Linked DNA regions of Mus musculus. The protein of the gene in region 2 interacts with the protein of the main gene of each other region in a pairwise test. Links are inferred from orthologs where the notes say so. Each region holds a gene or a part of one and is shown on either strand. Other genes may lie near its edges.

The links.
Region 1: the proteins of Pomp (region 2) and Psmb5 interact in binary tests that used the Homo sapiens proteins (3 or more experiments, as listed by UniProt). The link is inferred for Mus musculus from reciprocal best matches to the Homo sapiens genes POMP and PSMB5.

The regions. Positions count from the first base shown.
Region 1 is NC_000080.6:54,615,080-54,619,377, reverse strand, and holds the start of Psmb5 (proteasome subunit beta type-5), read left to right. Parts: upstream 1-1,382; 5' UTR 1,383-1,386; coding exon 1,387-1,584; intron 1,585-2,556; coding exon 2,557-2,863; intron 2,864-4,298. UniProt on the Homo sapiens protein: Component of the 20S core proteasome complex involved in the proteolytic degradation of most intracellular proteins. This complex plays numerous essential roles within the cell by associating with different regulatory particles.
Region 2 is NC_000071.6:147,867,048-147,870,683, reverse strand, and holds part of Pomp (proteasome maturation protein), read right to left. Parts: intron 2,869-3,636; exon of another isoform or gene 1,962-2,868; coding exon 1,901-1,961; exon of another isoform or gene 1,753-1,900; intron 1,273-1,752; coding exon 1,171-1,272; intron 1-1,170. UniProt on the Homo sapiens protein: Molecular chaperone essential for the assembly of standard proteasomes and immunoproteasomes. Degraded after completion of proteasome maturation. Mediates the association of 20S preproteasome with the endoplasmic reticulum.

The DNA of each region.
Region 1 (4,298 bases), on a different chromosome or scaffold from region 2:
CACATGCTTTTCCACCTAGAAATAACAACTCTGAGACAATACTTCTGAACAATTGCTTAGGCCAGTAGCTTTGGCCTGTCCCCTGACTCATAACTCAGTTATCCTTGTAAAGTAGTCTGAGTCCAGCCGTGCAGTTGCTTACCTCTCCTCAGGCTCATGCAACCATCTCTTCCAGAGCTCAGGGCGAATCTCCCATCTCTTGTGCCTGTATTTTCCACCCACCTTCTAATCCTGCCTCAGCTCACTGGCCATAGACTTTTTGTTGACAGGTGAATGCTTTTCTAAGAGATTATCTTTACAATGGTGAAGCACCTTTAATCCCAGTGCTCTGGAGCCAGAGGACGTGTGAGGGTCCCAGTTTGAGGCCAGCCTGGTCTACAAAGCAAATTCCAGCTCAAGGCATGACTATGTCTCAAAAAACAAACAAACAAGGAGGTTCGAGAGATGGCTCAGTGCTCTTCCAAAGATCCTGAGCTAAATTCCCAGCAACCGTAGCTTACAACCATCTATAAAGAGTTCTGATTTCCTCTTCTGGCATGCAGGAGTACATGTAGATAGAGCATTCATGTACAAACAATAAATAAATATCAAGAAGAAACAACAAAACAAAAACCTTTAAGGGGCAGTGAGCCTGGTGTGTGGCTCAGGCCTGCCTTTCATTAGTCTGAAACAAGGCAGGAAAACCTGGCCAGTTAAGAGGGGGTAGCCTGGCCTACCTACCTAGTAAATTTAAGAACAATCCGGATAGTAGAGCATGAAACAAAAACAAAAAAAACAAACTAAAAAACCAACAACAAACAAAAAACCCAAAAAGCCACAACAAAACCCTAGCTAGGGTATGTATATAAATGCTATCAAAAACAGGCGGTGGAGTTTTTGTTGTTGACAACCAACTATTGCGGCTGAATTAATACCATGGGAAAATGGTCTGAAAACAATTATTTGAACCAGGATTAGGATAGGTGGCCTTAAAGAAAATGGCCACTTCAGTCTCTCCTTAACGGGGTTTTGAAAAATAAAGAAACAGCTTGCAATCTGAACCTGGGCCTGGGCAGTGACCAAACACCCTAGTCCAGTTAGGAGTCTTAAGCAGTTACGCCCTTCTCAAAGATGGCCGAATTCGCTTCCCTCACTCGAGAAGAACATTCCAACCACTCTCTAGAAATTAGAAGTTAATCTTATCCGTACTACTTCGATGCCAAAATAAAAATGGCAATCTTAACCACTCAGCCATCCTTCCTAGGTGAACACAGACCGGCGCTGGTATTTAGAGGTGTGGTTGCCCGGAGTAAAAATGGCGCCGCCTCCGTCTAGACTTAGCTGGACGTGAAGTTGTGACGTCGCGGCGTTGCCAGTCGGAGGCAGTTCCTGTTGCCCTTGCTAAACATGGCGCTGGCTAGCGTGTTGCAGCGGCCGATGCCGGTGAATCAGCACGGGTTTTTTGGGCTCGGAGGTGGTGCAGATCTGCTGGACTTGGGTCCGGGGAGTCCTGGTGATGGGCTGAGCCTAGCCGCGCCGAGCTGGGGCGTCCCGGAGGAGCCGCGAATCGAAATGCTTCACGGAACCACCACCCTGGCCTTCAAGGTGCTCAGACAGCTCGCGCTTCTCCGGCATCCCAGCCGGAACCGGGTCGGGCGGAGGTTCGGTCCCCTCCTCCCGACCCTTGGCGGGTTCACTGTCTCGTAGCCTTAAGAAAGGAGAGGTGGGCGGAGATAGGGGGCGGTGAGGGAAGGAGACGGACAGCGTGGGTTGGCTCCTAGGCGACCCCAGTTTGCCCCTTTTCAGGAGCCCTACCTGGGAACAGCGGACCGTGGCGGAGGGTGCGGGGGGGAAGCCATTGTCGCCGTTCACCAAAGTTTGTATAAACTGAGCTTGATGAAGTCCAGGGGCTACTGAAGTGGGTACCGAACAGTTAGGGTCCCTGTTCCAGCCCTACAATAACTAGCTCTGGATCTTAGGCTAGTCTTTAAAGATTTATTCTTATTTTTTGTATATACACCACGTGTGTAGTGCTCGCAGGCGCCAAAAGAGGGCGTCGTGTTCCTTGGGACTGGAGTTACAGACCTTTGTGAGCACTGGGAACCGAACCTCTGAAGAGCAGCCAGTGCTCTTAACCACTGAGCTCTCTCTCCAGTCCCCTTAGGGTGTCTTTATCTCATTAAACTTGCTACTTCATATTTAAAGTGAGTAAAAGGGCTATTCATAAATCAGGAACTGCTGTTAAACCCGAATGACATTTAACATAAGAAGTCGATTACGCCGGGTGGTGGTGGCTCACGCCTTTAGTCCCAGCACATGGGAGGCAGAGGCAGGTGGATTTCTGAGTTCGAGGCCAGCCTGGTCTACAAAGTGAGTTCCAGGACAGCCAGGACTATACAGAGAAACCCTGTCTCGAAAAACAAAAACAAACCCCAAACCCCCCAAAAAAGAAGTCGATTCCAAAATCCCAAAAGATGCAAAGCCAGGTTATCTTTCTGTATTTATACAAAAATAAAGTATGGGGAGTATTTGTGGTCTTACGGGGCCTCTCTTTTTGTTTTCTCTGACCTTAACTAGTTTCTCCATGGAGTCATTGTTGCAGCGGATTCCCGGGCCACAGCAGGTGCTTATATTGCTTCCCAGACGGTGAAGAAAGTAATAGAGATCAACCCGTACCTTCTGGGCACCATGGCTGGGGGTGCAGCGGATTGCAGCTTCTGGGAGCGGTTGTTGGCTCGGCAGTGTCGAATCTATGAGCTTCGCAATAAGGAACGCATCTCGGTCGCAGCAGCCTCCAAACTGCTCGCTAACATGGTGTATCAGTACAAAGGCATGGGGCTGTCTATGGGCACCATGATCTGTGGCTGGGATAAGAGAGGCCCTGGTGAGTTGTGTCCTGTGAGCCATGGTGGGAAGGGGTTAAATGGGTGGGAGAATTGAGGGCTTTTAACAGGTGCTGGGAATGGATGCGATATTAGGTTCTCAGCTCTTCCTTCCCTTTCCAAGGAAGGCCTTGTACGGAATAGGAAAGAGCATAGAGTTAGACTTGCTGTGTCACTCACTGCTTAGTCATTTGACCTTAGCCTATTTCTTCATCTGGGAACTGGTTAAGTGAACCATTGAAGCGGTTAAGTGTGGTGCACATAGAGCAATTGGTACAATGTCTGGCACAACAGCTCTCCTTCTTTCCCATGCAATAATGACTAGAAAACATTTGTACTGGGGAATTGTAAACTTTAAAAATTGTGTTCTATTCTAGCCAGGTGTGGTGGCACATGCCTTTAATCCCAACACTTGGGAGGCAGAGGCAGGCGGATTTCTGAGTTCGAGGCCAGCCTGGTCTACAAAGTGAGTTCCAGGACAGCCAGGGCTATACAGAGAAACCCTGTCTCAAAAAACCAAAAGAAAAAAAATTGTGTTCTTTTCTATGCTTGGGTGTTTTGTCTGCATGTATGACTGTGCACCACAGTGCATTCATGGTGCCTGAAGAGGCCAGAGAGGGGATTGGATCCTCTAGAATGCAGTTACTGATGGTTGTGAGCCACATGTGGGTGCTCAGAGCTAAACCCAGGTCCTTGGCAAGAGTGGCCCGTCCTTCTTCCCCCTGCCCTGGGGGCCATCTCCCCAGCCCCCCCCCCACTTTTAAATTTTAAGTTAAATTATTTATTTGTGTGTGTATGTGTGAACAAACACATCCTACAGCATATCTGCAGTTCAGAGGATAACTTGTTCAAGTTGGTTCTCTTGTTCTGTGGGCCGGGCTCAGGACATCAGGCCTGGTGGTAAGCAACAGTTATATGCTGACTCACCTCACTGGCCCTCATTGTAAAAAATAAATAAGCCAAGTGATACACAGCTGTGACCCTAGAGCACTAGGGAGGGTCAAGAGTTCGAGGCCAGCCTAAGCTGTATGGCAGAAGGACAGCCTGGAGCACACAGAAACATTGTATCTCAGAAGTCAGTAAAACTAGTGGAGTTGGTGTATAGTTAATTTTATATAAAATGCCCAAATTATTTCTCAGTACCTGGCGGTAGTACCATTTCAAGTGTTGAAGTCAGTTTCATGCAGTCTCTAGCCACTGTGTTGCATGACAACGATAGGCTACAGAGTTGTCATTTAAGCGTTATCTCCCACCATTCCTGAGTCCTGTGCTTGACTTGGCCAGCATGCTTGCCTTTTGGAGTTGCCGAGAGAGCAGGAGGGATGGTTAACATACTGTGAGGAGAGATGGGTGGTATGGTGCTCTGGAATCTGGAAATCTCAAGATAAATTTGACTCTGTCTTTCTCTGATTTCTTGAAAATTTGTTTCTTTATGAG
Region 2 (3,636 bases):
TGATCCACCAGGCAGTTGGGCTTTATCTAGAGGGCAAAGTGAGAAGCAGGACACAGTGAGAGGTTTACAGTCACTCTGGGGGAAGGGGGCTGGGTGGCATGGAGATCTGGTAAGAACCAGATCTTTAGGGTGAGGGTGACAAGACAAACACTTCAACGTCCTTAGACAGAAGCCCATTCACCCACAAGGTGAAGGATAATGAGTTATTCTACATACCCCCTGTGAAATCCAAGATGCCTGTGGGCCTTCCAACCAGAAAAACAGGTCAGGAGAGTTAGAGAAAGTCAACAGCACAGAGTACAGGCAGGAAACAGGAGAGAGAACAAAGCTGGCCCCCAACACCACCAGCATCTCAGGTGACAGACAGAAGGAACCACAGAGTTGCAAATGGGTTTCAGAGAGGAAGGGGACACCAATTTAAGGTCTATAAAAATACAGGGAAAAGGGAGAAGCTGGGGTGAGAAAATGTCTGCCCTGCTCAGGAGCAAACCCCGCACAGGCCGGAGCCAGAAGACACTGGCTCAGAGAAGGAAGCAAAGTGACAGACATAGGGAACAATGGCTCCCAGCAGCTCAACCTGTACCAGCAGACAAGTGAGGAAAGATGTGGGGCGAGGCAGATCCCTGGGAGTTCAAGGCCAGCATGTTCTACAAAGCAAGTTCTAGGAGGCCAGTTAAAGTTTCTGGTGAGACAGCCTATCTCAAAACTAATTAGTTAGGGATCGATACAATTTTAAGATGGGATTTGAATGTCTGTGACTGCTTCTGATGAGCTGAAGCAAGGAGAGAAGAAAAAGGTGTCCCAGCAGGCAGGGCTGCTGGCAGGGAGCTGTTCCCTGAAGCAGTGTGACGCAATGGGGCCCAGAACCCAGGCAGGGGACAGTTCTCCCAGGCAGAAGGACATCTGCACACAGCTATCCCTTAGCAACAGGCACACCCAGCTGTATATGCACAGCTGCCTGCAGAGGGCAGAGAATCACGAAGGCAGAAAACTATGCTATTCTCAGACACTGCGTCTATGACATGAAGCCGTTCTCCACCTAACAACTTTTCCTATGCGAAGCAGTAACAAGGGTCATGTGCTACAGAGGGAGGCAGGACAGGGAGCATGGAGGGTCAGGTCTGAGAGCCACCATGAGAACATCGGCACAAGGGACAGAGGCAGACTCACCTGCTGCACTGCCTTGAATTCCATCTGTAACTTCAGGGGAGCAAACAGACCCTGGATGTTCCTCAGCGTGGAAAAGTTCATCTTGTCCTGGTTGAGCTGGAACTACAGAAGACAGAGTGACTCTAACCCAAAAGCTCGTTAGTTATGAAGGGAGCAACACTGTTCTGAACACGCGACACCAACAATCCTGAAGCCAAGAGTTAACATTTCTTGATAGATTTTATAACATTTATGTCTCTGCATCTGTGTGTGTGTGTGGCATGTGTATGTGTGGTTTTCATGTGTGTTCACGTATATGTATTCCTGCAGACACCGGACAGAGTCAACGCCAGGTTTCTCCTCAACAGTCCCGTGTTATTTTGTGAGACAGGGTCTCTCACTGAACCCAGAACCCAGAGATTCAGCTAGGCCAGCCAGTGATCACCAGGGATCTGCCCGCCTCCCCTCCTGTATACAGTAACGGCACCCCAAGTGTCTTCAAATATGGCTGTCTGATCTCAAAGGGCCCATACCTACTTCTAATTTTCTACCACGGGATAAAAAGACATAGGGCTGGAGAGATGGCTCAGTGGTTAAGAGCTCTGAAGGTCCTGAGTTCAAGTCCCAGAACCCACATGGCAGCTCACAATGTCATGATGCCCTCTACTGGTATGCAGAAGTAAATGCTAACAAAATACCAATATACCTAAGATAGTTTGTTTTAAAAAAGAAAGACACATAACACACTCACGTTTTTTTCTGATAACTCGAGAGGGTGACTGGGCAAAAGTTCATTTTTCACACAAGAAAACCTAAAAGGAAAAAAAAACCCACAAATATTTAACAGGCTCCTATGCATATTGCTCTATCATAGCTCGAAGCTGTACAGGTGAACATCCATCTTTTTGGTTTTCTGCTCAGAGGGGGCTACAGTGCAATTTTCTTTGATCACCCCAAATCCGGGTTATCTGACACCAGGTGCTTCCACCATGCTGCCCAAGTTTGGCCCCAACAAGATCAAAGTCGTACGTGAGGTGCACCAGAGGCCAATTTGGTGACACAACTGCCTCGGCCCCCAAGATCAGTCCTCTGGGTCCATATCCAAAACAAGTTGGTGATGACACTGCCAAGGCTACTGGCGACTGGAAAAGTCTCAGGGTTACAGAGAACCTGACCAATCAGAACAGACAGGGCCAGACTGAGGTGGTGCCCTGTGCCTCTGCCCTCACCATCAAAGCCCTGGAGGAGCCACCAACTAACAGAAAGAAGCAGAAGACATTAAACTCAGTGGAAATAACACTTTTGATGAGATTGCTAACCCTGCCCATCAGACACAACACGGGTCTCTGACCAGAGCACTCTCTCCTGGGTACTGCACAGTCTGTGGACTGGAAGGTGGATGGCCGCCACTCTTATGACAGCATAGATAACATAAACAGTGCAACAGTAGAATGCAAGCTGATTAGAAAGCAACAAGGAAATATTTCAATAAAAGACAGCACATGTAACTGTGGAGTATCTGGGGCGTGGGGTGGAGCTCAGTGGGTGAACGTGTTTTCAGCAAGCATGAGGCCTGGGACACGATCTCAATTGACACACCCAGTCACCTAGTCACCTAGTCTGGTGGTGGGGGCTATAATGCCAGCCCCTGAGAGGCAAAGGCTGGCGGGTCTCTGAGTTCGAGGCCAGCCTGGCCACAAAGCAAGTTCCACAATAGCTAGAGCTACACAGAGAGAAACCTTGTCTTGGAAAAAACCACCACCCCACCACCCCCCAAAAACCCTAAGTGTGCAATAGGTTTTCTGGGGGAGAGAACACTGATGTCATCTTGATGGTGCCCCTCAGTATAGGGACAGAACGTTTGTGGAAATACATATAACTATGAATGAAAGGCAGCCAGACTCCTCACGCATCTGTTACAGACACTGCTGCTATACAATGACATGGAGGCTGTGAGGGATTGGATATGCTTGGCCCAGGGAGTGGCCCAAGAGGTGAATTTCAAAATATGGTATTTTGGTGATGAACGTGGCGACATTTTGCACTTGTCTGAAGAGTCTGCCTGAGGTTAAGGTGAAGAGACTCAGATTAATTGCACTGACAAAGGAAGTCTCAAAAACACCTATCATAGACTCTGTTCTCTGGCTAAGTCTCATGAAGAGCACTTTAAGTAAGTGTAGCAAGCTGAGAAAGGAAAAATATAAAATCTATTGTTTGAATACTAAAGGGGCACCAGGAAGTGAAATGGAGCTGAATCCTATGCGCAAGGAGATTAAATTGAATTAAGGGAGTAGTGAGTGATCTTGGGGCAAGATTCCTTGCAGCTAAATTTAGGTCAGGCGTGGTAGTACAAGCCTTTAATCCCAGGAGGCAATGAATATCAGGTCTCTGAGTTCAAGGCCAGTCTAGAACAGAGCAAGTTCTAGGTGAAGAAAATCTTAAATCCGGGCTTGGTGGACCACATCTTTAATCCCAATGCTTAGGAGA